Linked DNA regions of Schizosaccharomyces pombe. The protein of the gene in region 1 binds, or shares a complex with, the protein of each later gene. Each region holds a gene or a part of one and is shown on either strand. Other genes may lie near its edges. The genes, in order: mrpl25, mrpl17, mrpl10 and rml2.

Region 1 (7,570 bases):
ATAGGTTAGATATCACAAATTCAATAAATGTGGACTTACCATCTTTAGTAGATAGTTCGTTGTTAGAAACCGGAATAAAATAACCGGTATAATGTTTATTTATTTGAGTTGACATATCGCGCAAAGAATCAAGATTTTTAAACGAATTTAAGTTGTCGATAAAAATCGAATTAAGACTAGGTATAAAATTACCGGAATAGTTGGAACATTCAACCAAAACCGATTTGACAGCATTCAAACGATCAAGCTCAGCTTGTTCTAAATCTTTAAAAACCATAAACTGGAAAGGGTTAGCAAATGAAAGAAGAATAATGCTCAATACCAAATATAACTCTAATTCATGACGGCATTGCTCTAAATTGTCATAAGCAAGGTTGTACTTTTGTAAAACAGGATCATCATTAGTAGCTGTTATAGGATCATTTACTTGAAAATATGGATCGACCTCAAGAATACTCAAATGATAACTTTTCAATAGTTGCTGTGATTTTGTAGTAAATTGAGCATCTATCTCCGGATCATTTTCAAAAACTCGACGAATGCCAAGTAACCTTATTAAGCCATGTTGTATCAGCTGGTTTCCAGCTTTAACGACATAAGAATCTTTTTCCAAACCAAATGTTGTCTTGATGGCTTCAAATAGAAGAGAGCAGTTTGTAACAAGTTCGTAGTCACCGAGATGAGAATAAGATTTTCTTTTAACAGTAGACGCCTTCATAAGCTTTAATAATACATTGGCAAATTCCTCAGCGGTATATGGATGATCAACTATGTTTATCAACCCATCAAACTTATTAACGTTAGAAGGATTAATATCCAGCTGAGACAGAGCAGAAGCAAGAGAATCGGATTTATTAGATTTTCGAGAGGTAGGAATTGGCTTTCGGTCGGTCAAATTAGACTTCTTGCTGTTTACATGAGAGAAACGTGAATTGTAGTTGTTTATTTTGACAATTGCGGCTGAAACGATTTCATCTACCCTTCTAGAATATTTCTTTGACCAATTTGCAAAAGGATTTATTACCAATATATTTAATTGCTCCCCAAGCTTCTTGTGCAACGACGCTTCCTATTGTAAATATTAGCGATAATGACCATAAGAGTAACGATTGAAAGTATACCATTAAATAGCTTTCATAAAGCTGGTGTATGGCTGCATCAGAAGGAAGATCATTGCTTTCTTCATTTAAAGGATGGTGCTTATTGAATTTTGAAAACGATTTGAACAGCAAGTCAGAACAAGATGAAGCTGACTTTGCTCTAATATGTAACAACTGTAATACTAAACGTATTGTTAAATCATTAGTTATTACAAGAAGAAGAATTCATGTGCATACGCTTTTCGTTTTGTTCAACACCTTCGTTGATTAAACGTTGGGCACGATTTATTCCCGTAATATAATCCCTTGACCAGAACGAATTTGAAAAGCCGTCCCACATATCTTTTTGATAAAAATGTCTGATGTACAATACACTTAAGTATATCTATGTACTTCTGTTGAGTGCCAGCTAATTAATAGATTAAAGGTAGTTACAAAAGAGTTCTCTTTTAATCTAAAAACGTTAGTTTAAAAAATATTACAGATAAATCAGTAAATTGACATTGAGGATTAGAATTCTCCTACAACTCCAAATAATCCAAGAAGGACTGAAGGAAAAACTTCTTCAAAAAATCACTTACAAAGAAAGCGGTATTAAATATTATTCACAGTGATTAATATGTAATTTTGGTTTTGTAAAGAGTCATGTAGATGTTGGTATTTAAGTGGGTTCGTCGCGACGAGATGTAAACAAACCAAATTACATAGTGCAGTACAAAGCATCGTAAACTGTAATGAATGGCACAAATACTGAAGACAATAGTAAACAAATACTCATACAGACAATGTACACGTACGATTCGTCGGGAGAGACACTGAAAATAGCAATAGCATGGAAGATAATTTTAAAAAAACCGAAAGGAAAAAATATCAAAGACTACATAGAAGCATTGCGGAAAGGAATTGAGGATCAGGAACATTGCGAAAAATACGCGTCAACATTATTGGAACCGCGCCCAAAGACGAAAAAAGATGTTGTTTTGAAAAATAGTAATGTTACAGAGTGTGTGGCTTTAAAAGCCAAACCGTTCTCTAAAAAAATCGAGGATATGGGTAAGTACTTGCACGATGCTTATTAAATCCATCAATACTAGGCCGGTATATCTTCTTATATCTAAAGCATTAGTTATATTAAAGAAAGCCTTTTTGATCTAAAATAGTATGAATTTTCTTTCGTTAACAATCCAATCTAGATATCTTTTTGCTGACCAATGTTCACGAGAATCTTCAGGAAAAGAGGCAAACATCCGGAAGCCTTGCGCATCTGGATATTGAGTACACGTTTAATGGACTTTTTCGATTCTTAAAATGCACTGCTGACATAAAGTTGAAGCAAACAAAAGTATACGAGGGTGCGGATTTTTTGCGCATTAAAACTTTATTCGAAGAAATTTTTATGTTTCTTAAAAGAGATTGTAAGTCGCCGTTGGTTTTAACAAGACTAGTTGAATTGGGAGATTATGTACTGGATCTCATTATAATCACGCAGTCGATTATGCAAAACAATGCCAACAATGGAACTGGAGTGATTTCCAGAGCGAAATTTTTGGAATTTTACGTATTTTTGGAGCAACTGATATTTAACAAGCTCTCATTCGCTTCCGTAGAGCAATTGGAAAAATTACTAGATCAAATTGTTAAACGGATGAAAATATGCTTCACATATTGCAAAAACGATAACCCATCTATCCGGTTGTTATATAGTGAATGTTTTTTTTCGTACGCTGAGATATACTTCCCTTGTCTACACTCCTTCGATGCTCAGCTTTCATCTGCCGCAAGCAAATGTGTCCAAATCTTAAGAGACATAATCACAAATGAAGAATTACAAACTGATAAACAAGAGTTGTCTAAGAGTGCCTACTCTGCTCCATCCATCCTTTTGATTGGCCTCAAAGATATGCTATTTCCCGAAGACATTTCCTAATAGTAATATATTGAGGGCCACTATTTAACACACATTCATTTCTTGCCTTTCCAATTTGACTCCTTTTGTTATCCTAAAATATTCACAACATTTGGTGGAATTTTTCTGGAAATTCAATGTACAAAGAACGTTGTGGTGAAAGTGTTGATCATCATATCCATTCGATGAACTTTGATATTATGTTCCCTTTTAAATCTTGGGCATAAGGGAAAGGTTTTCTGCTTTTAAAAATTGATGGATAAAAGAAACAAAGGAACAAAAAAAGCGAATATATAGTGGCCAATTTGTATTATTTTCAAGTACAGAAGTGCTTTCCAAATTCGTTTACAAGAAACTTTGGAATTTCAATCAACAAGCTATGTTTCTTCTTTTCCAATAAAGCGCATTTAATACAACGCGTTGACAACAAGATTATTGATCAAGTAAAGGAAATTTATCGCACAAGCCTTCATTCATAATCCGCGATTTGATCTATACGCATTGCTATCCTATTCCTTACGAGGGATAAATCGAAGGAAGTGATAATGGATAAAACCACACAAGCTCCAGAGAATTGAAGGTTTTTCAGCTATAGACCTAACTAGAAGAACAGGGATACTTACAGGGCTTATTAATATTCAACATTAAAGAGCGTCTTATCGATTCCTTGTCAACTTGATATCACCAACAGTTCTATGCACTACTAACTTTATGTCACACTGCGTTACATGTCATTATAAATAATTCCTTTAGTATTTCTTATATTCTCCACTAATTGGAGTCATCGAGAGATGACCGGACTTTTCCTACAATAATTTTTACTTTTATTTATGTTTTAAAATACTCAAAATAAGCATGATTGAGCTTTTTTTGCTTACTCTCAACATGTGTCAGTAGGAATCCGTACATGATCTGATATGATAATTTTACTGGCATCAGAAACTCTATAACCACACACAGCTTACTTGAACGGGCCTCATTTGATGGAATCATAGAAGCAATCACAACTAAAAACGATAATGATTGAAAGCGTTTGAATGCTACGTTGGCGGAACACAATCACACATACTGTCAGCCTTCAATAATTAAATAACGCAACCCAACAAAGATGCCTAAGGTAGAGGGACTAATGCGAGAGGAAGCCATCTACGCAGTATGTAAAATATTTTAAGGAGTTTGTATAGTTGCTAATTTAACAACGATATACATAATAACGAAATATGTTAGTGATTTTTATATTTGTATAAAATAATACCCTGGATAATTTTGTATTTATTAACTATAGTACTGCTACACCGTAATATTATATTAATTAGTATATCCATTGGAACTAAATTGAGTAACTAAGAATTAGTCCGACCTAATAAACGCTAATAGTCAATAAATTGGCTTAGAATTGTCTGAGATAATAAACTCTTTTAATATTTCAAACGATGAAAAGTTTCGATTAAGAACTCAAGAATGAACAGTAATGATTGATTTAACGTAATATAGCGCAGTTAAACGTTTGCCGACATCTTAGGTCAATGTATTTTCTAATACTAATAGTGCTTGACTCACTGTCTTTTTGAGCTTCTCTATAGATTAAAGAGGTTTTAACCTTATCATGCCAGTCTTTACCAAGGAAGCTTTGGAACGGCTTCCTATCCAATTAGGAAACTTTTTTAAAAAGTTTCCGCCTGAAAATCCAAATGCATGGACGACAAATCCAAATCGTCAAAATCCGTTTCTCGCAACTCGAAATCCTCAGAATGGCCTTGTAATCAACCCTTACTATTCCAATAGAAGGCAAGCTGAAATATATAAAGAGGCCAGGCTTCAGAATCTGGATAATTTACTCCCCCAACAAATGTCATGGCAGAAAGATTCTACACGCCATATTTTGAAAGGTCTTCTGAATCCTAAAGGAAAAATTAGTGAACGAAAGAGGGATGAGATTTTGGAAAATAGGCGTTTAAAACTTTCGGAATCATTGAAGAAAACTTCTAAATTTAAAAATGAGCGCGTATGTAAACTGTTGTACTTTCATGATTTTCTTATTTCTATCTACTGATTTTGATTGTGAAAAATTTACTATTATTATTTTTTTAATTGTCTTTATTAACACTCTTTTTAGCAAAAAGCTAGCAAAATAGCGAAACCTTCTCCTTTCTAAATTCTTCTTCTGCAAAGTGGGTTTCACGTAATACTGTTAATACCTTTTGATTCCTGTTTGTTTATGACTTCCTTAAATTTTTTTAAAGATTCATTTAAATTTACTGCTATATTACCTCAATTATGTGTTTACTAAAAGTCTTTTATTGTGCAGCATGATAAAAAGACTAATATACTAGTCTATACATTTTTGTAATCTTTACTAATAATATGATTCTACTTTAATAGTTAAATTACATTTAAATATTAGGTTTTGAATCTGCAGACTTAGGATTTTAGAATGTGATTTATTCGTAACTTTTCATTATGAAGTATCTTGTTATCTTTAATTTTTAGGAAGAGCGCATTTAAATATAAAAAAAATATTTAGCACTTTCTCAAAACTCATTACTTGTGAATGAGTAAGTAAGTCATTATATGATTTATGTAACTTTCTAAGCTTATTAGTGCATTTCAAAGCCGACGGAAATTCGTCAAAGTGATTTTAAGATTTTGGGGCATTAAAAAAAAAGATGGACAGTCGAGTAATTTTTTTTTCATCGGAAATTGGGAAAATGCAACTTCAAACAGCATTTTCAACGTCTTCTTCTCCTTCTTCATCTTCTTCACCTTCAAACATTAATTCATTGAAAGACTTAATCAATGGACTAGGAGAATAATCTTGAGCATCTTCCTCGTCAATCCCCTCGAATTCTTGATATCCGAATTTCGTATTTTTGGGTGTTTTGGGCGACTTGGATGTGCTTTTATTAGTATCGTCTTCTTCTTCATCGCTAAGTTCAAGCAAAGGAGATCTCCAAAAATTCACATCAGTAAAGCTTGAGACTTCATCTCGGGTGCTAACCTCGATGGGAGGGAAGAAATGATCGACAAGCTCATTCATGTAAACATAACTACTTCGGTGACCGCTTCGCTGCAACAGTTCAATATGGACTTCGCCAGCAGAATTAATGGTAAAAATCCTAGTTGGTGGAACTCTGACATGGTTATAAGATATTGCGTCTGTAATACGATTGCCAAAGCCGGCGTAAAATGGTGTTCGAGGAACAGGTAAGGCGAAAATATTACAAAGATCACGCAAACAAGCCATTTTAAATACTTCTGGCTTCCTTAAAATTACTTCTCTATGAAGAGCAGCCATAGTGCGATCAGGTGATAAAATAACAGGACCATCGGGTAGAGAGTATCCGTTCTGTTCAATATTCCGGAGATAATGTCGAGTAGAATCGGCTTGGCCTACCGAACGACTAGTTAAATACATAATTTTGTAGCCGTTGTTAGTGATATCGGTATACAATTTGGCAACTCCAGCATGAGTCCAATCCTTGCCGATCAAGGTAAACATATGCCCTAGAGCATCAGATTTGGTAATTGTTCCATCAATGTCCGATATAACGACAGGATCGTTGTGTTTCCAAAAAAAAAGATTAGCAGTGCAAATGGCCTTACCCCCGTTGACTCCAAAGGAAAGCTCATTTTTACCGGGCTTCAAATTTAATGAACGAAGCTGATCAGAGGTTAAACGAAGGGTTTTAGCATATTGAGGATATGACTCGGAAACTGGGCTCAAAGACTGTTCAGATAAAGAGTGTCGACGGCTTAAATCAGAGTCCTCATCCATTAAAGCCGAATCGGACTTTGGAGACGCAGGAGTGCGAGATGGACTTGCAGGAGGACTGTGTCCATAGACCTCCGCAAACTTTTTGGCATCTTCAGAAGCGTGAAACCACAGATTACCTTCTTCATCTTCACGCAGAAGCTTTTCAATCATGGGAAATTCATCCTTGAATGTTTCCCGTGCCAACTCTGCAATGTTTATATTCGCAGCAGAAGATTTATAACCTGTCATGTCAAGCATCACATCACCATTATCCCCAACACGTGTAGGAAGTTCTTTCCCAGAAAGCCTTTTCCCCAATTCCTTTGCCTTTTGTAACAATCGTAAGTCTGCTAGCGTTGTTGCAGGCATCGACGGAGTTCTATCACTTCCAGCCATTTCCAAACAACTCGAATGTCGAAGGTGCTTAAAGCCGGTTGGAGGTGTTTGATCGGCATCGGATTTCGAACGGCGAATTAAATCTCGAGTAAGAGGGAACTCGTAACCGTCCTCCATCAAATAGGTATTCGATTGATCTTTCTCATGATCCTGAGATACTTTATCGAGCTCGAGATCTTGAGGCTCAGTGACATTCTAAAGCAAGACTGTTAGTAATTTTCGTGATTGAGATAAACTAAAAGCCGAAAGTAGTTGTGCAGAATTCTGATACCGTATTCATTAAAATATTGCACATAACTGTTTTCCACCGGACAAGTCAGCCCCAGTTTACTTTTGTACATACAATGGATGGTGTTTGCTTTGGCGAAGTGGTAGGCGACACAATGGGAGATGTTTGAAGTTCTCGTGGAACTG
Region 2 (8,236 bases), on another chromosome or scaffold:
AGGGACCCTGGTATCGTGCATACCCTGTGGAGGAGAAAACCCAAAGCGTTGCCAATGCTGGCGAGCCGTTTGAAGACGAAGGTTCCGAAACCTGTCGCTGTGTCATATGTGGCCGCTCTGATCATGCTGAGGTGCTTTTGTTGTGCGATGGGTGTGATGATGCATATCATACATATTGCTTAAACATGGATGCAGTACCTATAGAAGAGTTCTATTGCCCTAATTGTGTATTGTTAAACTATCAAGAAAATGAAACACTCTCTTCACGTATTTCTCTTTCTCGAAGAGGCCAGACAAGACGCAGAAGGGTAGGAGCAGCTGCTCGTGCCTCGCGAGTTTCTCAACAACAGCAGCGTGCATGGACACGTGCTTGGAATGCCATTAGAAATCGAGCTTGGGATGCATTGAATTCAGATCTCTCATATTATGGTATGCAACAAGAACGACTGCCTGCTCGTGACGTCTCGTCTGAACTTTTGCGACGTCGTATTGAGAGTGCACGTCTACGTTCCAACCAGCTCAATGAGCCAGTTGAGCAGCCACGAGTAGTGCAGACACCAGTAACGAATGCTTCTGAGCAGCAAGCATGGAATGATTTTGATGAAATTCTACATGCGAATTCATCGGTCCACTCCGTTGCCACTGAGGCTACCATTAGTAACCCACGACCTTCGTCGGGTCGATTTCAGCAAACGCCTATAGAAGAACATCATCAACAAGATACTCGATTTGTGAATGACCCAAATTCCACGAGTCACGACAGGAGGCAAAAGCGACCTACTCGTCGGCACATTCCTTGTTCTAATAAATCCTCAGGATCTTCTACAGTATTAGGCAATAATTCATCATCTAAATCAGAGAATTCTTTTCTCGCTAGTTTAATTAGCAACATCAACCAGCCAAGCACCTCACGAATAGATACTTCCTTTATGTTAAGTTTACAACATGAGATTAAGAATTCTCACTCTGAAGCTTCGGATGGAACTTCAGACGTTCACTTGACTCCTCTTTTCTCAAATCTCTCTCCTCGACCATCTCACGTACCGCTATCACCTAGGGAAATCAGTAATGATAATTTGGATGACCATTTGATTGAACTTTCGGAACCAGGAGAAATTGTGGATAATCATTTAGTTAATGATACGAGTATGCATCAACGACGCACTTCGGGCCGACATGATTTGGTGCATTCCAGCAAAAAAGTCTCTTATGAAACGAAGTATCGAATAGAACGGCTAGTTAACGCAGCTCTGAAGCCTTATTATCGAGAAGCAAAAATATCTAAAGATCAATTTGCTCTATTCAATAAGAATATCTGTCGATCTGTATACACTGCGTTATCGGATGGTACTCTGTCGCTTGAAGGACCTCAGCAACATAAAATAAGCAAGACAATACGGGAAAAGGTTGTTAACTGTATACAGTCTCTTTCAAATGACTGATTATGAGTTATGTATTTATGATAGGAGTTATGGTTTGGTGCATATGCTTTTAATATTATATCATATCTAATCTTTTGGAAATCAGAAAGTAACTTTTGAGGTCAATTACAATTTCCAAAAGAGTATTTATTTTGTTAATGAAGGATAGTGTTTCTTTAATGTTTGAACAATATATGTTTGCAAGATTAACACTCGTCAAGAATGGAGTCTTTAAGGATTTCGCTTTTAGAAAAGAGGAAACAATGTATAGATCTAGTGATTGTCTTATTCTATTTATTGAAGTATAACATTTTGCATTGCAAAGTGAGACCGTTAATATAGCATGCAACGTGTGCTCAATATAGGCGTTGGTAGTATATTTTGTTTTAATTCGAATTTGAAATGTCATGAAAAAGATTGATAAACTAAAAAGTCTGTAAATTTGAAACCGCAAAAAATTGTATATACTTGCTTAACGTCTTCTAGGGGGTCGAGGTCTCGAAAAACCAGTTTTGGTGGTGCTTGTTTCTGCTTGAGGACTTGATATCCCAGCAGCATGAAGAATTTCCTTTTCAGTTATATCAGCGGCATCATTCGATTCAATCTGTCATGTGAGCATAAAATCTACTACGAGGGATAAACATACCTTGCCATCAATAACAATACCCAATTCTGCTTTAATACTATCCAAAAGACCAAGTTTGGAAGAAGAATAAACCATTCGATGTTTGACAGTTGCTTGCATTGGACAAATGTATATAAACACTAGACCTTGTTAATAAAATGATCCTGCATCTGTACTTACAAATTTTTGAAGAGCCGTCTTTTGGCAGGGAATAGAAAGCGAAATTAGGTTCGGTGGAAGAAAAGAAGGATTTCACATCAGAAGGAGGTATATTTTGCTTTTCTTGACTTAAACTTATGACTTCTTTGTCAATAGACTTTTAAAGGAGGTTAGCAACACCATACATAGCAAAAGTATCATAGCTTCCTTACCAAAATAACAAGATTGTTTTCTGTAGATGATTTTAAATCAGAAAGAGCCTTTAAGGCTTTATCATCAATCGACATAGCAACACCACGGGTCACCAAAGGACGCTTATGAGTTACTGAGGATTGCATAGACTACATAGTTGTTAAAATAGATGCAAATAAAAGAGTAGAAGCTATAAATTCTACGAGCCACGGTAAAGAAGTATGAAAAATCCATCCACCCCAATACAGTTTACCTACCTCATTGTACTCTTTCCTTTCGAGTTCATCTTGTCGTAAAGGACTTTGGTCCTCTTGCTTGCTTAAGCTCTTCATAATTTGCTGATAATCTAACTCTTCCGGAGTACTTGCGAAATAAGACTCGTCGAGTTTAGCAAGAGTTACGCATCTTACAAATGCAGCACGACTAGAGGCATATAACATCTTCCTGCGAACATTCGCATTTTCAGGGACATAGGAAATTAATTGTAATAGATTTTTCTTGCTATCATCATAAACGAGGACAAATGCAGGTTCTTCAGATCCGAGCAAACATTCACGGACTTTCTTAAAATCAGATTCTATCGATTCTGATTTTTCAACCATTGTTTTCACGTCAAATGAATTCTCTAAATCATTTAGTAACTTCAACTAACTTAAAATTTACTCTTCTAGCCCGAATGGAAACTTACCATTAGAAATGCTAATAATGGCGGCGCGAACCGGTACCGAAGAGTACTCCTCGAGAAATTTACTGAACTTCTCTGTAGCTATCCACACGTTAGAAGAATTTAGCCAAATTTCTTACGTTTTAATTCGACGGAAGCAGACATTGTTATGGGGATTGAAAGGTTTACTGCGTCAGCAATTCCCCATTCTAAGTGAGTTAAATTGAATTATAACGAAATCCAAAGAAATCTATTAAAACATATTAACGATAGCAACAGAGTCTCTAAGAAATATTACAGTACTTAACGAAGCGTGTAATGTACGCTGGTAAAACAGGTGGTAGTGCTAGCCATAGCGAAACGTCGATTGCCTTTACCAAGTGGTCTTTACCGGATTAGTAAACAAAGCCGAAATTTGGAGATTTACTTGGCGTAAATTGACTAAGTTTAAACAATGTACTTGAAGAGAAATATTATAAATATGCAGAGGTCTTTTTCGCGTCAATTTCACATTTCTGTACGAAATTCCATTCAATCCTCTAAACCCTTGTCTAACTCGACTCCTCTAAAAGGTACAGAATTAAAAAATGAAAATGAATTATCTAGGGATATTAAATATAAATAAAAAAATTACCTTTGATGTACATGATTGCTAACATATCTTAGGTTGTTCAGTGGGTACAATTTTAATTAGATCGCCAATTCTTACTCGCCAACCATCCGAATTCGAAAAATCTATATATAAATATAATGCGGAACTTTGGAATGAGCTGAGTGATCCTTTACCTGCAGAATTTTATTTCAAGAAGGGATCGGTGGGTGAAAAAGATTGGCAAGAACGACAAAAAACACTAAAAGGTAAAGAATCACCCTTTGAGACGATATTTGGAAAGGAAAGGAAAGAGATGGAGTCTAACAAATTATTGGATTCTGCAACTCACTTGCAATCCAGAGTCACAGAAGCTGATACGAAAAACGATGAGCGAAGCACTCTTCGCTCGCTTGACAAGTCCCTTTACTTGTTGGTAAAAAAATCTAAAAGCTCGGGTTGGCAATTTCCTAACACTCCTGTTACAAGCTCCGAGAAGGCGCTGCATCTGGTAAGTACATTTTTTAAAATTCGATTCCAAGATACACAATATAGTGCAAGAGACTACTTACTATTGATTTGATGCTAAATAATTTATCAAATACTCTTGCAATTTTTGTTTACATAGTCTGCAGATTGGCCTTTCTAACAAACTGTAGTTATGTCAAGATCTTTTAAAAAATATATTAGACGAAAATTCGTTGACTTGGCTAGTTGCACGTCATCCATTAGCATTACTAAAAACGGAACAAGAAAAGGTAAGACTACGGATTTTTTGTTCTCATTTTATCTGGGTTGATTTTTTGTTTAACCAGTTATTTCTAGACCTTCTTGTTACGTGCTCGTTTATTAAATGGATTAGATGTACCTAACCTGCAAAACGTTTATGACTGGGTTTGGTGTACGTACGATGAACTGAAAAACAAACTTTCTCCTTCTTCATGGGATTCTGTAAAAAACATACTTTCCGATCGTTTGTAATCTTCAATTGAGCAAACAATATGTAAAATCTACGGAAAATAAACAGCGGAACATTTCATCTTGGAAATTCAATCTTTCTACAATCTTACTGCATTTTTCAGCTTAATTTTCACGTTTTCTATTTTTTTCTCTCCTTAATTTTTGATGTTTTGGTACGATGTAAAAAAAAACAAATAATTTTGGAATTTCACTAAGTATTTCTCCTTATTTATTCTATCTTTTTATTTGCAAATGATTCTGCCAGTATTTTATTTTCAGCCGCCTACTTTTGGAGTCCGGATTTCATGATTACTCACCCTCATGATCTGTGGATTCTTGGCAGTGTACGAGAAAACGGGAAAAGCGCGCACCTTAATAATAAACTATGTTTAGCTCAAGGGACCTAAAAAAATAGAATTGTTAATCAAAATTGATATCCGTAGTTTGTCCTCAATTCCAAGATCAAAAATTCTTTTGTCAGTCATAGTCTAGCCCTTAAAGACAATGTCTGTATAATTTAGTAATTATCAGAAATGATATGTGTCAGCATAATCCTTTGAAAGTTCATTAGAATGCAATTATAGACTTTGCTTTCTGGAAGCATTAAACCGTACATACACTTGACTTACAGATTTAGTCCCACTACAAAGGAATTGACAAAGGGCAACTTTGTAGAATTCTGTTTATAAACTCGGTTCTTATCAATAAAATGTTAACAGAACAACAGACTTTGGAGTTATTTCCAGAAAATTGGGAAAGAAATGAGCAAGTTTTGTTGAAATACCCGGATGGGTTACCCAAAGATGTACTCGCTGATCAAAGAGTTGATAATACAGAATCACAGGTAAAGGATGAAATAACTTCTAACATTACGAATCAAACTCAAATTTTACTACCTGCTGATTCCTTTCCTCAGTATGGGTCATATCCTAACAATTCAGAACTCGATTATGTTGTATGCACAAAATGCGACCGACCCTTCCTATCAGAGTATATTGAGGACCATCATAGCTCATGCAATGGAATTAAACCTCCTAAGCCTCAATTTGAGCCTGTTGCGAATTCTCAGGTTTTAAACAAAGATGTCAACAATGGCAATAATGCACCCATCAAAAATGGTGTTAAATCGACAGCTAAGGGCTCAGCTGGGAATCATGAAAAGAATTCAGTTAATGGTCAAAAGAATCCTGAAATGCCTCCAAAACGTCGGAAGACAGAAGAAAACAAAAAGCCTACAAAATCCGCCCTTCCCAAGAAAGAGGCTAGCAAGAAGAAGAATCCAAAGGTCAAAGGTATGTTGGTTTATGCTGTTCAATATGGAGAATGGAGTACCTGTTTACTTTAATACTAACATTCAATTAAGGTCCTGTGGATGTTGAAAAGCAATGCGGTGTTTTGCTTCCTAATGGGCAAATGTGCGCCAGATCTCTCACATGTAAAACGCATTCAATGTCAAGCAAACGAGCCGTTCCGGGAAGATCTCAGCCATACGATGTTTTGCTTGCAGCTTGTCAAAAGAAAAACCAAGTAAAAATACAACGACAAATCCTCGAAACTGCAAAAGAATCCGAAGATAATCAGCATCAAGCGCCTGTTGATTCTGATGAAGAAGTCAGTTTCATTATGAATGTTCTCCAGAAATCTGGCAATCAGCCTTTGGAGCAAAAAGTTTTTTTACCCGTAAAACGTCGCCATTCGTATTTTCGTACTAGAGAGTTAATAGCTGCTGCATTTCGACATGGTGAGCAGGGTATGCAAGTTACTGGTACTATATTGGGACGAGTGATTCCTTTTAGTGCCCGCCAACCACTATAAAGAAATTCTTTTGATTTTGCTTCGGTTGATGATTTAAATTCTTTATGAGATTATAGTTTACATTTTGGTCTACTTGACCACGCATTTTCGACTTTTTAATTTTCTCCTCCGTTCATCTAGTTTCTATTTCATTAATTTTTTCATTTTTTATTTTGTATATTGCACCATACGGTCTTAACATTTGGAATAATCAAGTAGAAGTTAATAAACTATAAAAATACCAATAGAACCCAAAACCAATAATCAATTCTAAAAAAAAGAAAGAAACAAGTATTCTCCAAAAATATATGTACACGTTTGTAGTCTAATTTTTTAAAAGAAACAGCAAAGTTTATGGTATCAGTTTGTTGCAAATCCTCAGTCTCACAATCAATCCTTTAGCCCTCTAAATCATCCTTGTTTTCAGCCGAATCTTCTTCTTCATCGCTAGAAAGAACATCAGGCAATTTTGAGGAAACCTCTTGCGTCTTTTCAGTAATGCCTATATCTGATAAATAACTGAAATCTTCTTCATTATAACTGTCAATAAAAGACAAAAAACAATGAAATCTAAACCGGTTAGTTAATTTAAGAAAAAAATATACTTACACTTGTTTACGAGCTTCTTCGAGAAAAATTTTATCATAAATATGAGCATGCTTAAAAGCAGTAATTTTTTGCTCGTACTTTGTAAAGTCGATAGGATCACGATTATTCTCTGGAGCTTTATGTTCATTATAACCTTTAAAAAACGGTGACTCTAATAAAAGTCCAAAACCAGGTCCCTTGGGTATGTTAATTTTTGTTTTTTTAAAGGCATCTTGTATGCGCTCAACAGGACAACCCGTTCGTACAACTAAAATAGCAAGCGCAATCATCTTTCTAATTTGGTGCAACATAAAAGATTGACCATGAACTTTACATGAAATCCATTCTGTATCGCCAATCATGAATGGATCAGATGCCTAGAATGTTAGAAACAAGACTTGTCAAGAATACTATAAATACAAAGAAGATAATTCTTACTTACAGTAAAAGAACGGATCACGCGATTACTATTCTTCTGATGAAATGCTTGCCCCACAGTAAAATTGTGAAAGTTATGAACTCCAACATATTGGTTTAAAGTTTCTCGAATAACGGACAGCCTATCTGCGGAAATACGGTAATTTTTTAATTTAAGTACTTCAATGTGCTTAAGTGCACGTTCGAGACGATAACTGGGATCAATCTTGGAACCAGCAGATTCGTCTTCAACAGAGTCAGGCTTTAAAAACTCGTTTACAATAGCAGAGGAATCGGAATCCATATCTGGATTAGTTTTAGCGGAAACTCCTGCTTCAGAGCCCTTATTATTTTCCGAATTAGCAAGAGCAGCAGCTCCCCTTTTAGAATATGGATTTACGAAGCCTTCAGGATCCTGTTCATAAAGGCTCAAAATCTCTTTGGCTGCAATATCATAATCATCCCAAAATTCCTTTCCTTCTTCATAAAATAATGAACGACTGAGTTGATTTATATTTTCCTTGTTAATTGGCTCAGCAGGCATGGGAGAATTCTTCATAATGCAATTTCCAAGTATGGACGAAGGTTTCGGTGGAACAAAAGCATACGTTGGAACCATATATTCATATATACGAGATTCGCAATAAGTCCTTGGGTTAAAAGAATTAATAGTACGGATCACATCCCATAAGCGAATGGAAGGAGGGAGGTGTTCGTTCACTTTTTCAATTAACTTCTCATCTTCCATTATAAGTTTGAGACTGATAACATTTCCAGCGGCATGAACTCCTTTATCAGTTCTTGCGGCTCTTGCTAAAGCAACTTTC
Region 3 (8,038 bases), on another chromosome or scaffold:
TATTGCTAAGCACGTCGGGTAATTGATTACGAATGTTCATTAGGAATGTTTAAAACACAAGTCAAGCAACAATCAAATATAACGATTCTCATTTGTCTTGTATAAACCTTTTTGACAACATAAATCAATAGTGGCCGTTTGGTCTAGTGGTATGATACCATCTTAGGGTGATGGTGGTCGTGGGTTCGATTCCCACAACAGCCCATGTTTTTACACTTTTTTACAACTTGATGTAAATATCGATTACTTATATCTTTTCACCTCTTAAGAGTTATAAAAATATAAGCACATATCTACTCTACATGAAGACGATCTGGATATTCTTAAGAAAGAAAAGAAACAGCATTACTACGAAACTTTTGTTGTAGGGGTACGGAAATGAAAAGTTCAATCATATGAATAATTAATGTCTATTACAAACCACAAGTTGTATATTACCACCAATATATTTTTTTAGTTCACCAAAACCTAATAAACGTGCCGAATCAATTAATTATTGTGAATCCTTTGTATATTCAGAAACCCGATCAAGACGTTTGGGAAGCGTCTTTCTTAAGACAACATTATGACTTGACTTGATTGTAGAATCAAAAGGAAGATACCAGTCCGCTTTTGGTACATCTTCTGGGTAGACTTTTCTTAATTCCTCAGTCCATATATCAGCTAAATGGAATAAAATCCCATTTGGAAAAGCAAGATTTTCGGTACTAAAAGCAGTTAGTAGTCTGTCCAAATAAACAGAAAAATGATAAAAATTAAGAAATAGCTATTCAACAAGTTTGATGTAAGCAGGAAGTAAAAGCGTTGCAAAACTTTTCTAAAAGTCTCCAACGCAAAAGCAATCTATATAATAAACAAATTCCCACACGCGGGAACGAAAACAACTTACTTAAAAGGACCATCCATCCACATCTGATTATATTCAGCCACTACTTTGTCCAGCAAAGCAGTTTTACTTCTTGTTTGAATATCCCGAAACGCAGCAGCACAAAATCTACGCATTAACAAGTAAAATTTGTCTGTTCGTAAAATATCAATTCCCGTCCATTCACGACCCATAGTTTCCCAAAAAGTAGATTGAAATAATATTCTATTGTCTATCCAGACAATTGGAACCAACGCGGCTAAATTATCTGAGAGTTTCTGTTGGTATAAGGGTTTATCAGCCATCCACATGCCTGCATATTAAAAAACAATTAGATGATTTACATTCATAACCCAAAAAAATTCATACAGTAAAATAAGCCCTTCCAAAGCTTGAGAAAGTCTAACCTTTCAAATTTTTTCTTTTGGCTTAAAAACCGCTGCAACGATTCAAGAGCCTTATCACGAGTTTTTCGATCTTACAGTGTTAGTACATTAATCATTTATATGTAAGAAATTTACCATTAGCTGCAAGTTTCTTAATAAACGGCGACGGAGCCGACATTGTTGGTTTATTGACAAAGTGTTGAAGCAGTTCTTAGCATCGTTCCTTCCATACTGCGTTTTAGTGCACTAATTGGAGAGTTGATAAATGTCCCTTTCTAATATATGAAATAAGGAGTTTCCCAGTCAATATGTATTATTTTTTTTAGAATTGACCGTTTATGTAGATTAATTGATCATAAGGTTAATGTACTACTATGGTTCGCTTACACTTCTATTACAAATGCCGGTTTTCTTAGTCATTCTTATATATAAGTCTTTAACCGTTCCATTGATCAACAAATGTTCTTTTTCTTCTTCCTTGCATGCCTTTGAAAAGGAGATCCTTTGAAAGATCTTTTCCTGTTGGATAGACAATCGGAGGATGAAAAAATTTTAAGAAAGCTTTAAACAAAAAAAGGCAAAAGATAATAATTTAACAAACAGTCGGCAGGGGTTCTTGATTATACAAAAAAAGTGCATGACTGCGAATGCTCAAATCTACTAATGAAGCAAATGAATAAATGTGAGAAAGGGTTTATCTGACAGAGAATGAACTGACTACAACAAGGGGATTTGGGGGATAAAGAAGGAAGCTATATTTTCGAATGAGAAAGGTATTCAAAATATTACTAATGGGTATTGAACTGTAAGCGAAAAAGTCAGTAGAGAGCTCAAACACCGAAATTGGAAACGTAATTATACAAATGTACTAAGAAAAGGATGCAGATATTTCCTTACAAAACTCAACATGTAACCCATCCAAGAAAGTAAAGGAGGCTGCACGGAATCATCAATAGACATAACAAAGTTTTAAGGACATATTAGGAAAGCGGGATTTTTGATGAACATATATCAAGTTCTGATGTAATATGGGAACTACTTATTTATCTTTAACAATCGGTTCGTAGGGGAATCGTTGGTCGCCATAATATAGCTCTCGAATATTTTTAACGTTGGCAAGATACCCTGCAAAATGTGGATTTGTGTAGTAGCGTATGTCTTTCTTTGAAACTGGAAGGGGAGGGCGAGGAGGTGTACGAAAACTTGAAGGATGCAAATGGGCACGTAGCGCCAACGGGCTGAAATATACTGTTGTTATACTGCCGCCTGCATTTTTGATTTGTTGTATAGCTTGAACTGTAGCCTTAGAAACTTCTATGGAAATTGCTGTTTTAAGGAGTCCAGGTTCGTCAGCAGTAAGTTCAACTCCATGTTTAATACCTCTACAGCATCTACTATCGAGGAGGTCTTTCATAGTAATTGTCTTGCTAGCATCCAATCTACCACGATCAATCCATTCCTGAACTCTCCCTAACCCCAGACGCAACGGTTTCTTCAAATGTCCCGTACTGTGACCAACTTTAGGAAATAATTTGGTGATAGGAGTTTGACCACCTTCAAAACCAGGTTTAATTCTCCGTCCACGCCTTTGACCAGATCCTTTATGACCACGTCCAGAGGTTTTTCCTAAACCGCTCGCAGGGCCTCTACCCACTCGCTTCTTTGACTGATAATTTGCACTGTTGTTTAAATCATTCAACATACTGATGCCGCGGAAACTAGCACCAAATCTTGGATAACCAGAGGATCTCAAAAAACCATGAAATGAAGAACTGCGACAAACCCGAGATAAAATATTAAACATTTTCCAATTCAAAAAACGGGTTTCGTCGAGTTTAGATGGTAATAAGTCCAAGGCTGCTGTTTACTATTACAAAAGATTCGGACACACACGAATACGTAAAATTCTATAGCGTCTCATAAAAATATCTTTATTACTATATTCAGCATCGCTGCACTGCGCAATTCGAATTTGTTTCCTCCTTTATTTCTTCCTGACATATGCCAGTGCATAATTGCAGCAACAGCGATCTTGCTTGGTAGATATAATAACCCTTTACTTTATAATGGAATCGGCACAGGCAGTAAGATTTATCAACAGTAACTCGGTAACTAATGTTTGTAGGTCGCGGAACCTCTTGATTTGGTGAGGCTTTCTTTGGATGAAATCGTTTATGTAAAATTACGGGGAGATAGAGAATTAAATGGCCGTCTTCATGTATGAAATTTTTTTAACGTTTCTTGAATATTTTTCTTATTCTGAATTGGTTATACTAACTCGATTGTAGGCCTATGATGAACATTTGGTATGAATCATATTCATAACTCGCATTTGGATGGATTACTTACACGTATTTTAGAATATGGTACTAGGAGATGCTGAAGAAATTGTAACTATTTTTGATGATGAAGAGACCGATAAGGACAAGGCCTTAAAAACGATTCGCAAACATTATGAGATGCTCTTTGTTCGTGGTACGTAGATTCTAAATATTACGCTCGAAAAGTTTGACCATGATTAAGCTTTCCTTTTCGAAACTGTTTTTCCTTTTTCGCCAAATGCTAATGAACTTTAGGTGATTCGGTTATTTTGATTGCTCCACCTCGTAATTAAAGGAACGAATAAAATTACTATACAAAGCTATCTACATATTTTTATCTCATTCTTTTGTTTAAAATTTTTCGCTTTAGAGGTGCTTCTTCGTACAATAGTAACGACTTTTGATTTGAGTATTCTATATTACAGAAAAGTTTGATTTTCCTTTATTCCGTTGGATGGATAGTTTTATCTTTCTTTAGTCACGCACCACTTCTTGTTATTCCTTACATCCTTTTACTTAATAAAAGCAAAAGACTCTTCGAAGTTAACCAACATTCACGAGACGCTGAGCTTTGTCATTGAGACTTTTCATTAATGGTTTTATTCTTTGTACTTGACAGGATAGTAAGCGATTTTTGCTTGCATGGTGGTTGCTCTTGCGATCTAGCAAAATCAGATTGACATTCCTTTAGAGATCAGAGACATAATACCATTCATTGTGCAAATAAAAAAAAACTATCAATTGCTTTCGATTTGGCGGTGTTGTTCACTAGTTCATCTAGTATTTTTTTATTATTAACAAGCGTATCATCATATATAGGCGTAGCGGTAAAATAGAACAAAATAAAATAAATTCTACAAATATTGATTGTATCCAAACACCCAGGACCATTTATTTCATGAAATGCTCGTGTCAATAGTATTCTCATAACGATGCGCACCGCTGAGACTTATTTCAAGGACAACACGAGCGCCAGAGACCTCTCCTCTGCCTACACGCTCCCTTCGTTATGAATTCAGCTAAAGCTACCTCTCTCCTCTTTCAAGGCTTTAGAAAAAATTGCTTGCGATTGAACCGCATTTCTTTCGCTTCAGGTTTGATTAACCGGTTCACCGTCCCAGCTCGAACTTATGCTGACGAAAAGGTATTTTTTTTTCATTCTTCATCTTTTTGATTACTTGTTAACTTTTTTAAGGTGTTCGTTAGAAAAAAGCCGCATGTCAATATTGGTACTATTGGTCATGTTGACCACGGTAAAACGACGTTGACGGCTGCTATTACTAAATGCCTTTCTGATCTTGGTCAAGCTAGTTTTATGGATTATAGTCAAATTGACAAGGCCCCCGAGGAAAAGGCACGTGGTATTACCATTTCATCTGCCCATGTTGAATACGAAACTGCTAATCGTCACTATGCCCATGTGGATTGTCCTGGTCACGCCGATTACATTAAGAATATGATTACTGGTGCTGCTACAATGGATGGCGCTATCATTGTTGTTTCTGCTACCGATGGTCAAATGCCTCAAACTCGTGAACATTTGCTTCTGGCTCGTCAAGTCGGTGTAAAGCAAATTGTTGTATACATCAATAAAGTCGATATGGTCGAGCCTGATATGATCGAGCTTGTCGAAATGGAAATGCGTGAGCTACTCTCCGAATACGGATTTGATGGTGACAATACTCCAATTGTTAGCGGCAGTGCTTTATGTGCCTTAGAGGGTCGTGAGCCTGAGATTGGTCTCAATAGTATTACTAAATTGATGGAAGCTGTTGATAGTTATATTACTCTTCCTGAAAGAAAAACGGATGTCCCTTTCTTGATGGCCATCGAGGACGTTTTTTCAATTTCAGGTCGCGGAACTGTAGTCACTGGCCGTGTCGAGCGCGGTACTTTAAAGAAGGGTGCTGAAATCGAAATCGTCGGTTATGGTAGCCATTTAAAGACTACCGTTACTGGAATTGAAATGTTCAAAAAGCAGCTTGATGCCGCCGTTGCCGGTGACAATTGTGGCCTTTTACTTCGTTCTATCAAGCGAGAGCAATTAAAACGTGGAATGATTGTCGCTCAACCAGGAACCGTTGCTCCTCATCAGAAATTCAAGGCATCATTCTATATTTTGACAAAAGAGGAAGGAGGTCGTCGTACCGGTTTCGTTGACAAGTATCGTCCCCAACTGTACAGTCGTACTTCCGACGTTACTGTCGAACTTACCCACCCTGATCCTAACGACTCAGACAAAATGGTTATGCCTGGAGACAATGTCGAGATGATCTGTACGCTTATTCACCCCATTGTCATCGAAAAAGGACAACGCTTCACAGTTCGTGAGGGTGGAAGCACTGTAGGCACAGCTTTGGTTACTGAACTTTTGGATTAGTGCATTTATGAACTTATTGGCTTTAAAAATTTTGCATGCTGAATACCAATATTATGTCCCTTCTCAGAATTCTATAACTACAGTGTCATTATTGTAATAAGACTTTTGCATCCATTGACAATGGTATTTGATACTTTTATAGTTTCTACTATTGTTAGCCAAAGTTATAAAACAAATAATAAAATAACGTTGAATCAATACTTTCACTCCGAATTTTAAGGATGGCTATTCAATTTACTAAACAAGAGCTAAATATAATGTTTTGTAGAACGAACCTATTAACTATATTACTACCGTTTTAAACAAACGCAACGGCGGGTCGAAAGACATAGTGAGACTAAGAGAAAGATATTAAAACTTAAAAGGGGGGAATTTGTAACAATTAAATGTGGGATAATACACAGAAAAATGAAAGGGAATCATAAACCTAGCAGGAAACGATAATTAGTGCTATTTTAACACGGCAAAAATTTTGTAGTATTCAATTGTTAAAAGCAAAAAAATCCTGGACGACCATTACTCACATATTGTAAATACCTTTATGAATTCGGTTTAAGTAAAGCATAGTTGAGAGAACCCGAAAAATCGGAAAGCAAATAGCCAAAAGAGAAAGCTACTAAAGAAAGTAGCCTGGCTCATTAAATTGAGAATGAAAGGAGCCTAAAAAAATAAGGAAAAAAATACCGGTATAAAAAGAAAACAAGAGCCAATAAACAAAATATATGCGCAGCACAAAAAAAAAAGAGAAAGGCCAAAATTATTAAAGATAAACAAGAAAAGCATAAAGCATAAGCGGAAAAGAAAAACATATATCTAAGGGGAAAACAATAGTGAAATTACTTTAAGTAACTCCATGGCGAAAAGATTTGACACAAAAAAATTAAAAGGTACTCCAAACCCAGTTATCTGGAACTGTTCCCAATACCAAACTCTCCGAAGGAAGTTCACCTTTAGAGTCCGTAGAGTCCATTTTTGGGATTGGTACAGATACAGCATTCTTGGGTTGGGATGGAGGATGAGTAGTGGCTTGCTGTGGTGCAATAGTGCTTTCGATTACAGTGATATCGTTAGAAGAAGCCAAATCAATAGACTGTTTCCATTTCAGGTATTCATAAAAGCAAGAGACGCAAGAACGGTATAAAGAGCCAGCAAGACAAAACTTGACATCCATAGTGAGGGGAATGTTACGATCGCAATGAAGAGCGCAGAATATATCTCCACATCGACGACAATGATGCCTTCTATCAAAAAGGCCGAAACGAACTGAGCAGGAGGGAAAAGAACAGACCGAGACATCGGAATCTGGTTTCCAGTGGTCTTTGGAAATTCCGGTCTCTCTGGACGATTGATAATTGAGAGAGGTAGCTACGGAAGAATTGGTAGAGGTAGGACTAACTGAATAAGACATTGCTTGATAAGAGGCAGTGCGAGAACTGGCAGCAAGTTTTGATGAGGCATAAGGTTTACTGAGACGCGGATTGCCAGAGTAAGAGCGGAAGAGTTCGGGACGCTCTTTTCTAGTTATGGAAGAATATAGTTGGGGGTTGGTATGGGAAGGTAAAGAACCTTGATTAGCGGGAGTACTATTGCTAGAAGAGTTAGGGGAGCCAGAAACAGAACCAGTGCCATTGGTAGCTTGTCTGGTAGGAGCTTCGATGAGTTCGTAAGACGGACGCACCCGTTGAGTGTAAGGAGAGGCACCAGAATAAATGTTTAAACGCGACAAAGGACCATGTCCAGACAATTGGTGAACAGTTGTCATGATGAAAAAAAGTAAAAATGCAAGTGACAATTCTCAATTGAAGAGAAGAGAAGAGAGAAAATAAAAGAATAGGGTAGGATAGGTTAGGATATGTAGTTAAGTATGAACAAGTAAGTGTACAGTGATGACACTTTGTGAAAACCGGTAGATGAAAAAAAAAAAAAAAAAGCCGATCAAATCAATTGACCGATCGATTAGAGATGAAAAAGTGTGTAGAGGGGTAAAAGTTTAAGAAATATTGAATTCTTAAAGAAAGTATTAACAAAAGCAAAAAGAAGAAGTACAAAAAAAATATGTAAATGAAATAATTTGAAAATTTTTCTT
Region 4 (8,186 bases), on another chromosome or scaffold:
TAGCAATGCGGGGTGACTTGCGGTGCAACTAGATAAGTGTCAACAATTCAAGTTTCTAATTCCTTTTAAGGCTACATTAAATTATATTTAGCTTGTAGAAGCAGTATATTGCGTTATACAGTATTGTGAGTGGTGGGTGATAATATATTTATCATTGTAACAGCTAATAACTGGACTGAGAATGATGCTCTGTTCAATCTAGACTTCTAATTTTAACTACTATTTTATATCAATATCAATGGATGTTTTAGTAAACAAACATATAGTCTTCTGCTATTGTTCAACAAATTGAGATTAATTGGTATTCCATGTAGTGTATTTTGATGCGTAACGTAATGTTTAATAGCGATTTTAGTGTAGCTCACTGTCTTGTAAGCTACGCAGTTTGGTATCTGATTTAAGGATACGTAGAACTGCGGTGAGTTTTCCTTGTGATCTATTATATTACAATACACAGGTTGTATAAGTAGCAACTGAGTATAGGTATTGTATTAACTGGGTTATAATGTTACCTATCACTAATATAGCTCATAACTGAACTGAGGAACGAGGTTCAGCAGTAGCTCTATTTATAGTATTCAGATAATATAGATCTTAATAGATTATCATTAAGATCAATCTCCATATCGTATCATACATGGTACGATATATAATTAGAACATGTGACATATAGTGATACGCAACGTAGTGTATTATAGCGTAGTGTAGTATTGCTGACAAGTATGTTAAATAAAGCAGTTGCTTCTAACATCGTTAACTACTTCTCTGCAGATGCAATTCACTCATTGATCCATAAATCGTTCATCTTACTACCAAGTCATGTCCTTGACAGTATGGAATATTGAATCCATCAAAGATGTTGCTGAAATGCTTGGGATTGGCAATCTTGCCGATGAACCAGCAGCAGCTATTGCAATGGATCTCGAATATAGAATTCATCAGGTGGTTCAGGTAGGTTTCGTGAAAGTAGACTATGAGATTTTACTTTCTTTGGAAGAGGCTAAAATAACTAAAAAATTGTTGCTAGTTTTTTACGATGCCTTTCAATTTGCTAGATAGTCTGCTTTATTCTGACATTAAACATAATTCTCTAACAGTATTTGATTTAGGAAGCCACTAAGTTTATGGTTCATTCTAAAAGAACTGTTTTAACTAGCGCAGATATCTCTTCAGCGTTACGGACGTTGAATGTTGAGCCGTTATACGGCTTCAATAATTCTCGTCCATTAGAATTTCATGAAGCCGCTGTAGGTGCAGGCCAAAATTCCCTTTACTACCTTGATGATGAGGAAGTGGATTTTGAAAAAATCATAAACGCTCCTCTCCCTAAAGTCCCTAGAAACATTTCTTACAGTGCACACTGGCTGGCCATCGAAGGTGTGCAGCCAGCCATTCCTCAAAATCCAACTCCCTCAGATCACACAGTTGGAGAATGGGCATCCAAGGGTACTTCAGGGGTTATGCCAGGTGCTTCAACTGCTGCTAAAGAAGCTCGAAACGGTGTCACTTCGATGGACAACGTTGAGATAAAACCGTTGGTGCGACATGTGCTATCCAAAGAGTTACAGCTTTATTTTGAGCGTATTACCAGTGCATTGCTTGATGAAACTAATGTTGAGCTCCGTGATGCTGCCCTATCGAGTTTACGTGACGACCCCGGATTACACCAACTTTTACCATACTTCATAATGTTTTTATCGGATTCTGTAACTCGAAACTTAGGAAATCTTGTGGTTCTTACTACTTTAATGCACATGGCCTGGGCCCTTCTTGATAACCCCAACCTTTTTGTAGAGCCTTACGTCCAACAACTCATGCCATCCATCCTTACTTGTTTGGTCGCGAAGCGCCTTGGCAGTGATCCTAATAATCACGAGCATTATGCACTAAGAGACTTAGCTGCTTTTTTACTCGGGATTGTTTGTGATCGATTTGGTAATGTGTATTATACATTAAAGCCTCGCGTTACTCGCACGGCACTCAAAGCATTTTTGGATAACACCAAGCCATATTCCACTCATTATGGTGCCATCAAAGGCTTAAAAACTATGGGGAAAGAAGCTATTAGAGTCCTCGTCGTTCCCAATATCAAAGTTTACGAAGTCCTAGTTCGGAAAACCTTGGAAAAAGGAAATGAAGAGGAGATTTACGAGGCCAATAAATGTATGGATGCTTTGTACGACGCTTTGCTATTACTGCGGGATGATCAATTACCAAATCAACGAACTCTTCCGCCAAATGCTAGTGGTCTTCTTGAGAAGAACGTTGGCAGTTTAATGGCTGAAAAGATAATGAAGGAAAACGATACCTCATTGCTTCTTGGTCTGCTAGAATAGTCTTCGTTGGGCATAAAATATTTGTTTTTGAACAATTTAATCTATGAATCTCGGACTTTAAAATATTTACCCAATTTTCCACACTACCTAAACCATTATAGGTTCTATAATTAAAATGTTATTGATATTCATGTTACATTAAAACAGGAAGCACCGAATAGCTTTCAAATGAATAAAAATAGAATGATGATAATATTGATATAGTTTATTTCATGTTTTGATTAAAGATGTGAGACTAGCTGACAATGCCGGGTTTTAAATGAAAGAAATACGTAATAGAACAGAAAGGGGAAGGAATGCTTGATTATGCCAAAGAATGCGAATAAAAGTAAACGAATTAAAGCAATTAAACTAGGTGAGGGAATAGCACCATAATAAATAATAATACTTTATCAGATATCGATGGAAAAATAACTGCACTAATCGCTATCGAATTCATCATTGTCCCCCATATTTGTGATTACTAGACGTTTCATTCCTTCTTCAGCACTGTCCTCGTCTGAAGATTCAGAACTGCTGCTTCGTCGATTGACAAGATAAGATTGAATATCATGAGTAGGTGATCCGCTACGAGATTCAAAGCCGTCTGATTGAGTAGTTTCGGCTCTGGAGTCTGCTCTTGAATGTATTGACATTCCCATAATGGAAGGTGCAGTCCCACTATGGGTTGAGCTGGCACGTGAAGACTCAATCATTGAGATATATGTTGGTGCAGTATTCGATGTCGAAATTACCAATTCGTCCTCATCGTCATCCTTACCTTCGGTAGCAGATAATCGTGGAGTAAGAATGGTGTGCTGAGGAGCCATTGTACGTGAATGAAGCGAAGCAGGACGGGTGTGATAAACACCATGATGCTGGCTAGAAAATACCCTTGAGCGCATGCCTCCTAAGCCTTTGCTGGAAGACTTCCCATTTTGTGATGAACTTTTGATTGATGGGCTAGAGTGTAAAGGAGCCACACGGCCTATATCACTCCAGACAGTCGCCTTTGCACGGCGTAAACTCTGTACGTAAGAAAAAGTAGAACCATTTGACTCATGGTTGCTATTAATGGCATTCGAAGTTGGAAGGGAAGACCTCGAATATGGATCATCATGGCTCGATCGAGTAGCTAAACGTTCCATGCGATTAGTCTTCTGTCTAGTAATGATTATTATCTATTTATTCCTTCTTTGAATAAGTTGCTTGTAGAGTAATTCCAATTAATTTTTAAAAATTTCACAGACAAATGCCGGGATTAGAAAACGAATGGTGTTAAGATAGACAATCTTTTATTTGATTAAGCAATCAGCTAAAACTAATTAAACAAAGCTCATATATCTTTGAAAAGCGCAAGAATTAATGTTTCGTACTGAAAATTGCAAATGTGCGGAAGCTATGTTTACATGTCTCATTCTCGAACATACGGTGTCCCAGAGGTAAATCTTATTAGGTTTTACTGTAATATCCCATAAATTTCTGTAAATAACAATACGCAATTCAATGTGCTTTAGCGTACTGTAGATTCTTACACAAACGAGCCTTACATGCAAAAAGCCGATTTAATCTCCATTTTCCTTCTTAATTTTAAATACAAATTACATTTGACTTCCGATCTTCACTCATTATAGGAGACTGTACCGATTACATTGCCTATAGGGATCTTTCATCTCTCGTTATTCTCGTATAGCAAATTATAGCGCGTCGTAATTTTCTTTGGACGGCACATTCACTCTTTTGGAAACTGCATGTCTGCGAAGCAGTTGTAGAGAAGTAGATTTAAATGGATATCGTTGCAGAGACTCAGATTGAAGAAGAATCATTGATACCCGACGCCACTAGTACTCCATTAGAAACGGAAGTGGTGGCTGATACTACATTGCGTAAAACAGCTTTACATCTAGCTGGCGTCGATAATCTTTCAGAAGAACAAGTCAAAGGATTTATTTCAGCTTATGCTCCTGAATCTCAATGTACAATTGAATGGATTAATGATAACGAATGTAAGAAGCGAAAACTGGCAAAGGGTTAGTCTAACTCTATAACCGCGTATAGGCAACGTTGTTTATGCGGATGATGATGTTTCACGAAATGCTTTATTTCATTTAATTATGGAGTCTCCGACAGAATTTTCAGAGGAATTGGAATATCAAACGAAACCACACCCAACTGTACCGACGTGTCAATTCAAAATACGTTACGCCCGCTACGGAGACAAGAAGGTTAAAAGCGCACATCTTTACTCGAGATATTATCTGTTTCACGGTGATCCTCGAGAAGAAAAGGCTCAGAAGAGCAAATCTAAAAGGTATAACTTGTGAAAACCAAATTAGTCCGGGTGCACTCATACTTTTCAAAAATCATTTCCTCTACTTTTGAGAATCTCCTTTTACTCAATTTTATATTCAAATTACTAACACTTTCGCACAGTAGAAATCAAGATGAAAGGGGTTCGCCATTAGATGAACGACTAGGTCCTAAAGTGTCTGACCTTACACTGATGGAAAGAATATTCCAAGTTCGACGCAAGCCACGCAAATCAAGGAGAGACCGTCGTTCCAGGGTTTCCAAGCGTTAATTGTGTTGTAGAGAAATATTAAATACCCAGTTTATCCGCTTTTAAGTCGCTTTTCGCTGGACGAAGGCAAGAAAAAATTAATATGCTAAATTAGCTACAATTTTATAAATAAAATTTTTTTATTTAGTTGGCCATATTAAAATAAAACCGTTCTTTTCTGCGTTTAATAGAATACTCTTTTGGTACCTGAATGATATCGATAACCCTTTTAAGGTAGATGTAAGCAAACGACAATTTTGAATGGGATAGTCCTTAGCTTTAAGCAACGTTGTGATGAACAAAAATTACCAATACAGATTTAAATTGTAAGAGCTAAACTCTTAAAAAATGCTTAAAATTTTTCGTCGATAAATGACGGTCGACACAAAATAACTATACATAAATGCATCTGGTCCACAAATGGATAGGTAATAGCATCGACTATTAAAATGGAGAAGGGATCATGAAAATTGAAATGCATTACGGTAATGTAAAACATAGAAATGTAAAAGTCATGAAGACAGAGATCATTAATAAAATGATTACCGCTTTTCCTTTCCACGAGGACGATCGCGGACGAGTAATTTATTAACATTTTTACCTCTTCTTGTTTTGTATCCACCTTTAGCCAAAACACCCCAAGGAGATTGAGAAGGTTTATTACCAATGCTTTTACCACCACCACCACCATGTGGATGGTCACATGGATTCATAGCTGTACCTCGAACCGTAGGACGAATGCCAAGCCAACGTGAACGACCGGCTTTACCAAGCTGGCGATGTTGCCAATAAATATTGCTTACAACACCAATGGTAGCAAATGATGTATCCAAAATCTTTCTCTCTTCACCACTTTGTAGACGAACGATAGCATATTTACCATCAAAAGCTATGATACGAGCGCTACTGCCAGCAGAACGACATAGCTTTGCCTTTTGATTTGGATTTACACCAATGGCATGAATGACAGTTCCTATAGGAATTAATCTGAGAGGAAAACAATTTCCTGGCTTCAAATTTTTTGCTGCAAAAGTTCCATCTTCAATTTCAGCAGCTAGGACGGGGTCCATTTCTACTGGCTCGCCATTAGAACCAGTCTTCAAAAGCGATCGAAAGCTCTCAACTGTATCGCCTTCGCGAAGCCCGTCACAAGCCAAAATATAACTTTTGTTGGCTGTTTCGGAATTCAATTTTTCAACAAGGGCAATGTGACCACTTCTACCAGGGTCATACTCAATTCTAATCACTCGATGAACACCCGGTACTTTTCTTTCAAAGTCAACAAGACGAATACGTTGTTTGTGTCCACCACCCTGATGCCTTACAGTAATTCTTCCTGTTTCATTTCTTCCACCTTTTTTTCTTTTTGCAACGGTCAAAGGTCGAAAAGGTTTCCCTTTCCAAAGGTAATCACTAACTGGTCTTTTTAAATGACGAAGACCAGGAGATATAGGTTTGTAAGTTTTAATCTTGATAAGAATTAGTAAAAAATGAATTAAGGCTTGATAAATAAAAAGTAACCCTCGTGTTAATATTACATACCTCGAACTTCGTTTTTGGTCGTAGAAGCATCCCTACATCGTAGGGTCTCTCGGAAGATTCAATTTTTTCACCGCTTGTAGATGCGGTAGAGGCATATCTGAACAGCTTTAACGCATGAATTTGAGGAATCAAATACCCCCGAAATCGATTATAACTCAACATGGGGATTTCCAACTAAACCTATGGTAAGAACTCACAATATGATGGACTGCGAATTAACGAGTTCAATCATAATTTGCGACGCTCAGTGCTAAAATCTTTACACAATCCAAGGTGTCGTTAACTGTGTAAATAAATGAACATTGATCTAGGGAATACAACATAGAGGAAATTGAACACATTAGCTATAATAATGAAGAACTTTGTTTTATTGTTTGATCATCTGTGTAGTAAATATTTTATACATTGTAAACCCGATTCTATACGTTTGAAAGTAATGGCAGGTCAACTGAGAATTTCAACCACGTTATAATATATTGGAAATTTTGATAAATTGAATTTGCTTTTCCTTCGAGTTGAGCAAAGTTAAACTAGAATTTACGACACCTGTAATAAGCCTGCTGAGCATGAAGAGTTTAAGGGATTCAAGGTATCAGGAAAACATTGCTTTCTCACAAAACTCTTCTCACATTCCTTTTTGGATGTGTGCTTAATTAATTACTAAATAAGTTCACATACCAAAAAAATCTTATTTAATATACAGTTTCAACGAAAAGTTTCAACTATGGAAATTTGTTTTGTTAACTCGTTCATTTTCGTTTCAAAACAATTCGAAGATGGGGTTGATCTGCGTTTGTTTAATATAGCTTATTAGTTTGCTTATGAAAGGTTTCGATACTATACTCTGTGTACACTGACAAAGGTCAATCAACATGAAAAGCCTTGAGATGCCATTTTCCAAAAAAAAAAGTGAAAAACACTATTTGATTGACTAGGATCTTCCAAATTCTTACAGATATTAGGTATTTTGACAACATCAAAATTGTCAAGTTTGCAATTCAAAAATGTTGCAAGTAAAATAACTGGTGTCAGGAAAAAAGGACTAATATTTATTGACTTCATATTAATTAGTCAATTGTAGAACAAGATATGTGGTACCCATGACCTCTTTGTTTATTGAGTACTTCTATAATGACTTACTTCAACTTTGCCTTCACCAACGCCAACGCGAAAACAGCCAACTTCAAGTAGGCAAAAGGAACAGACCGATTTGAAAGCATGATTGAGCATCTTAAAGGATGATTCAAAATGGTGGAAATAGCTATGTGGATTCCAATATGAATGAAACGCAAAATGATACAACTGACAACTTTGATGCTGAAATGCAAGATCTAAACGGGTATATAAGCGAAATTGTCGATGAGGCTAGGAATGTATCTGAAGTTGATGCAAAATTTTTGGGAGATACCTCTGCCCTTCAAGCTGAGGGCCTTTGGTCAGACGAAGAGTCAGATTATGAAGGCAGTGACGATGAATCAAACTTTAGTAAAACAGCCTCAAGAACCGAGGACGACATTGCGAACGAGGAATGGGAAGAAAATTTAAAGGCAGTTGCTGGATTTAGAAAAGTCCGTAAAGGTCATAAAGGTCGAGGACGTGTTAGTCGAGCTGATATGCTTCCCTCGGTGGAAGTGCAACAAATGTTGAGTTTAGCGAATCATTTGTTTGCGCAAGAAGGAAACTTCGACGAAGCCCAAAAATTAGCTGAAGAGATTGTTCGTATTGATAATAATGTCATTGCGGCTTGGAAAATGCTTGGTGAATGTCAT

What was found.
Region 2: mrpl25 (region 1) and mrpl17 share a complex: the UniProt entries of both Schizosaccharomyces pombe proteins name them as parts of the mitochondrial large ribosomal subunit.
Region 3: mrpl25 (region 1) and mrpl10 share a complex: the UniProt entries of both Schizosaccharomyces pombe proteins name them as parts of the mitochondrial large ribosomal subunit.
Region 4: mrpl25 (region 1) and rml2 share a complex: the UniProt entries of both Schizosaccharomyces pombe proteins name them as parts of the mitochondrial large ribosomal subunit.

What each region holds. Positions count from the first base shown.
Region 1 is NC_003424.3:4,991,487-4,999,056, reverse strand, and holds mrpl25 (mitochondrial 54S ribosomal protein mL59), read left to right. Parts: upstream 1-4,549; 5' UTR 4,550-4,612; coding exon 4,613-5,011; intron 5,012-5,122; coding exon 5,123-5,161; 3' UTR 5,162-5,433; downstream 5,434-7,570. Other genes in the region: rga9 (RhoGAP family GTPase-activator protein), read right to left, coding at 40-280, 323-1,069, 1,122-1,282, 1,338-1,440; meiotic recombination protein Rec24, read left to right, coding at 1,886-2,153, 2,294-3,027; lipin, phosphatidate phosphatase Ned1, read right to left, coding at 5,723-7,351, 7,500-7,570. UniProt on the Schizosaccharomyces pombe protein: Component of the mitochondrial ribosome (mitoribosome), a dedicated translation machinery responsible for the synthesis of mitochondrial genome-encoded proteins, including at least some of the essential transmembrane subunits of the mitochondrial respiratory chain.
Region 2 is NC_003421.2:2,120,940-2,129,175, reverse strand, and holds mrpl17 (mitochondrial 54S ribosomal protein mL46), read left to right. Parts: upstream 1-3,430; 5' UTR 3,431-3,515; coding exon 3,516-3,633; exon of another isoform or gene 3,634-3,727; coding exon 3,728-4,161; intron 4,162-4,309; coding exon 4,310-4,408; intron 4,409-4,475; coding exon 4,476-4,631; 3' UTR 4,632-5,043; downstream 5,044-8,236. Other genes in the region: ubiquitin-protein ligase E3 Asr1, read left to right, coding at 1-1,442; twf1 (twinfilin), read right to left, coding at 1,894-2,025, 2,068-2,186, 2,227-2,362, 2,418-2,546, 2,655-3,022, 3,086-3,163, 3,202-3,226; SAGA complex deubiquitinating submodule subunit Sgf73, read left to right, coding at 5,320-5,902, 5,974-6,425; pus1 (tRNA/U2 snRNA pseudouridine synthase Lsp1), read right to left, coding at 6,803-6,974, 7,014-7,369, 7,435-8,236. UniProt on the Schizosaccharomyces pombe protein: Component of the mitochondrial ribosome (mitoribosome), a dedicated translation machinery responsible for the synthesis of mitochondrial genome-encoded proteins, including at least some of the essential transmembrane subunits of the mitochondrial respiratory chain.
Region 3 is NC_003423.3:1,817,953-1,825,990, reverse strand, and holds mrpl10 (mitochondrial 54S ribosomal protein uL15m), read right to left. Parts: upstream 3,089-8,038; 5' UTR 3,056-3,088; coding exon 2,291-3,055; 3' UTR 2,034-2,290; downstream 1-2,033. Other genes in the region: Nop52 family nucleolar protein, read right to left, coding at 494-707, 890-1,178, 1,235-1,342, 1,387-1,429; U6 snRNP-associated protein Lsm3, read left to right, coding at 3,318-3,335, 3,377-3,469, 3,540-3,557, 3,612-3,726, 3,828-3,865; translation elongation factor EF-Tu Tuf1, read left to right, coding at 4,582-4,716, 4,768-5,952; zf-FYVE type zinc finger protein and glutamine sensor Pib2, read right to left, coding at 6,833-7,714. UniProt on the Schizosaccharomyces pombe protein: Component of the mitochondrial ribosome (mitoribosome), a dedicated translation machinery responsible for the synthesis of mitochondrial genome-encoded proteins, including at least some of the essential transmembrane subunits of the mitochondrial respiratory chain.
Region 4 is NC_003421.2:694,315-702,500, reverse strand, and holds rml2 (mitochondrial 54S ribosomal protein uL2m), read right to left. Parts: upstream 6,590-8,186; 5' UTR 6,580-6,589; coding exon 6,418-6,579; exon of another isoform or gene 6,394-6,417; intron 6,345-6,393; coding exon 5,418-6,344; 3' UTR 5,019-5,417; downstream 1-5,018. Other genes in the region: TATA-binding protein-associated factor TAF6, read left to right, coding at 820-951, 1,110-2,336; protein mug123, read right to left, coding at 2,756-3,463; RNA cap binding protein cbc3, read left to right, coding at 4,102-4,321, 4,374-4,626, 4,749-4,896; transcription factor TFIIIC subunit Sfc4, read left to right, coding at 7,656-8,186. UniProt on the Schizosaccharomyces pombe protein: Component of the mitochondrial ribosome (mitoribosome), a dedicated translation machinery responsible for the synthesis of mitochondrial genome-encoded proteins, including at least some of the essential transmembrane subunits of the mitochondrial respiratory chain.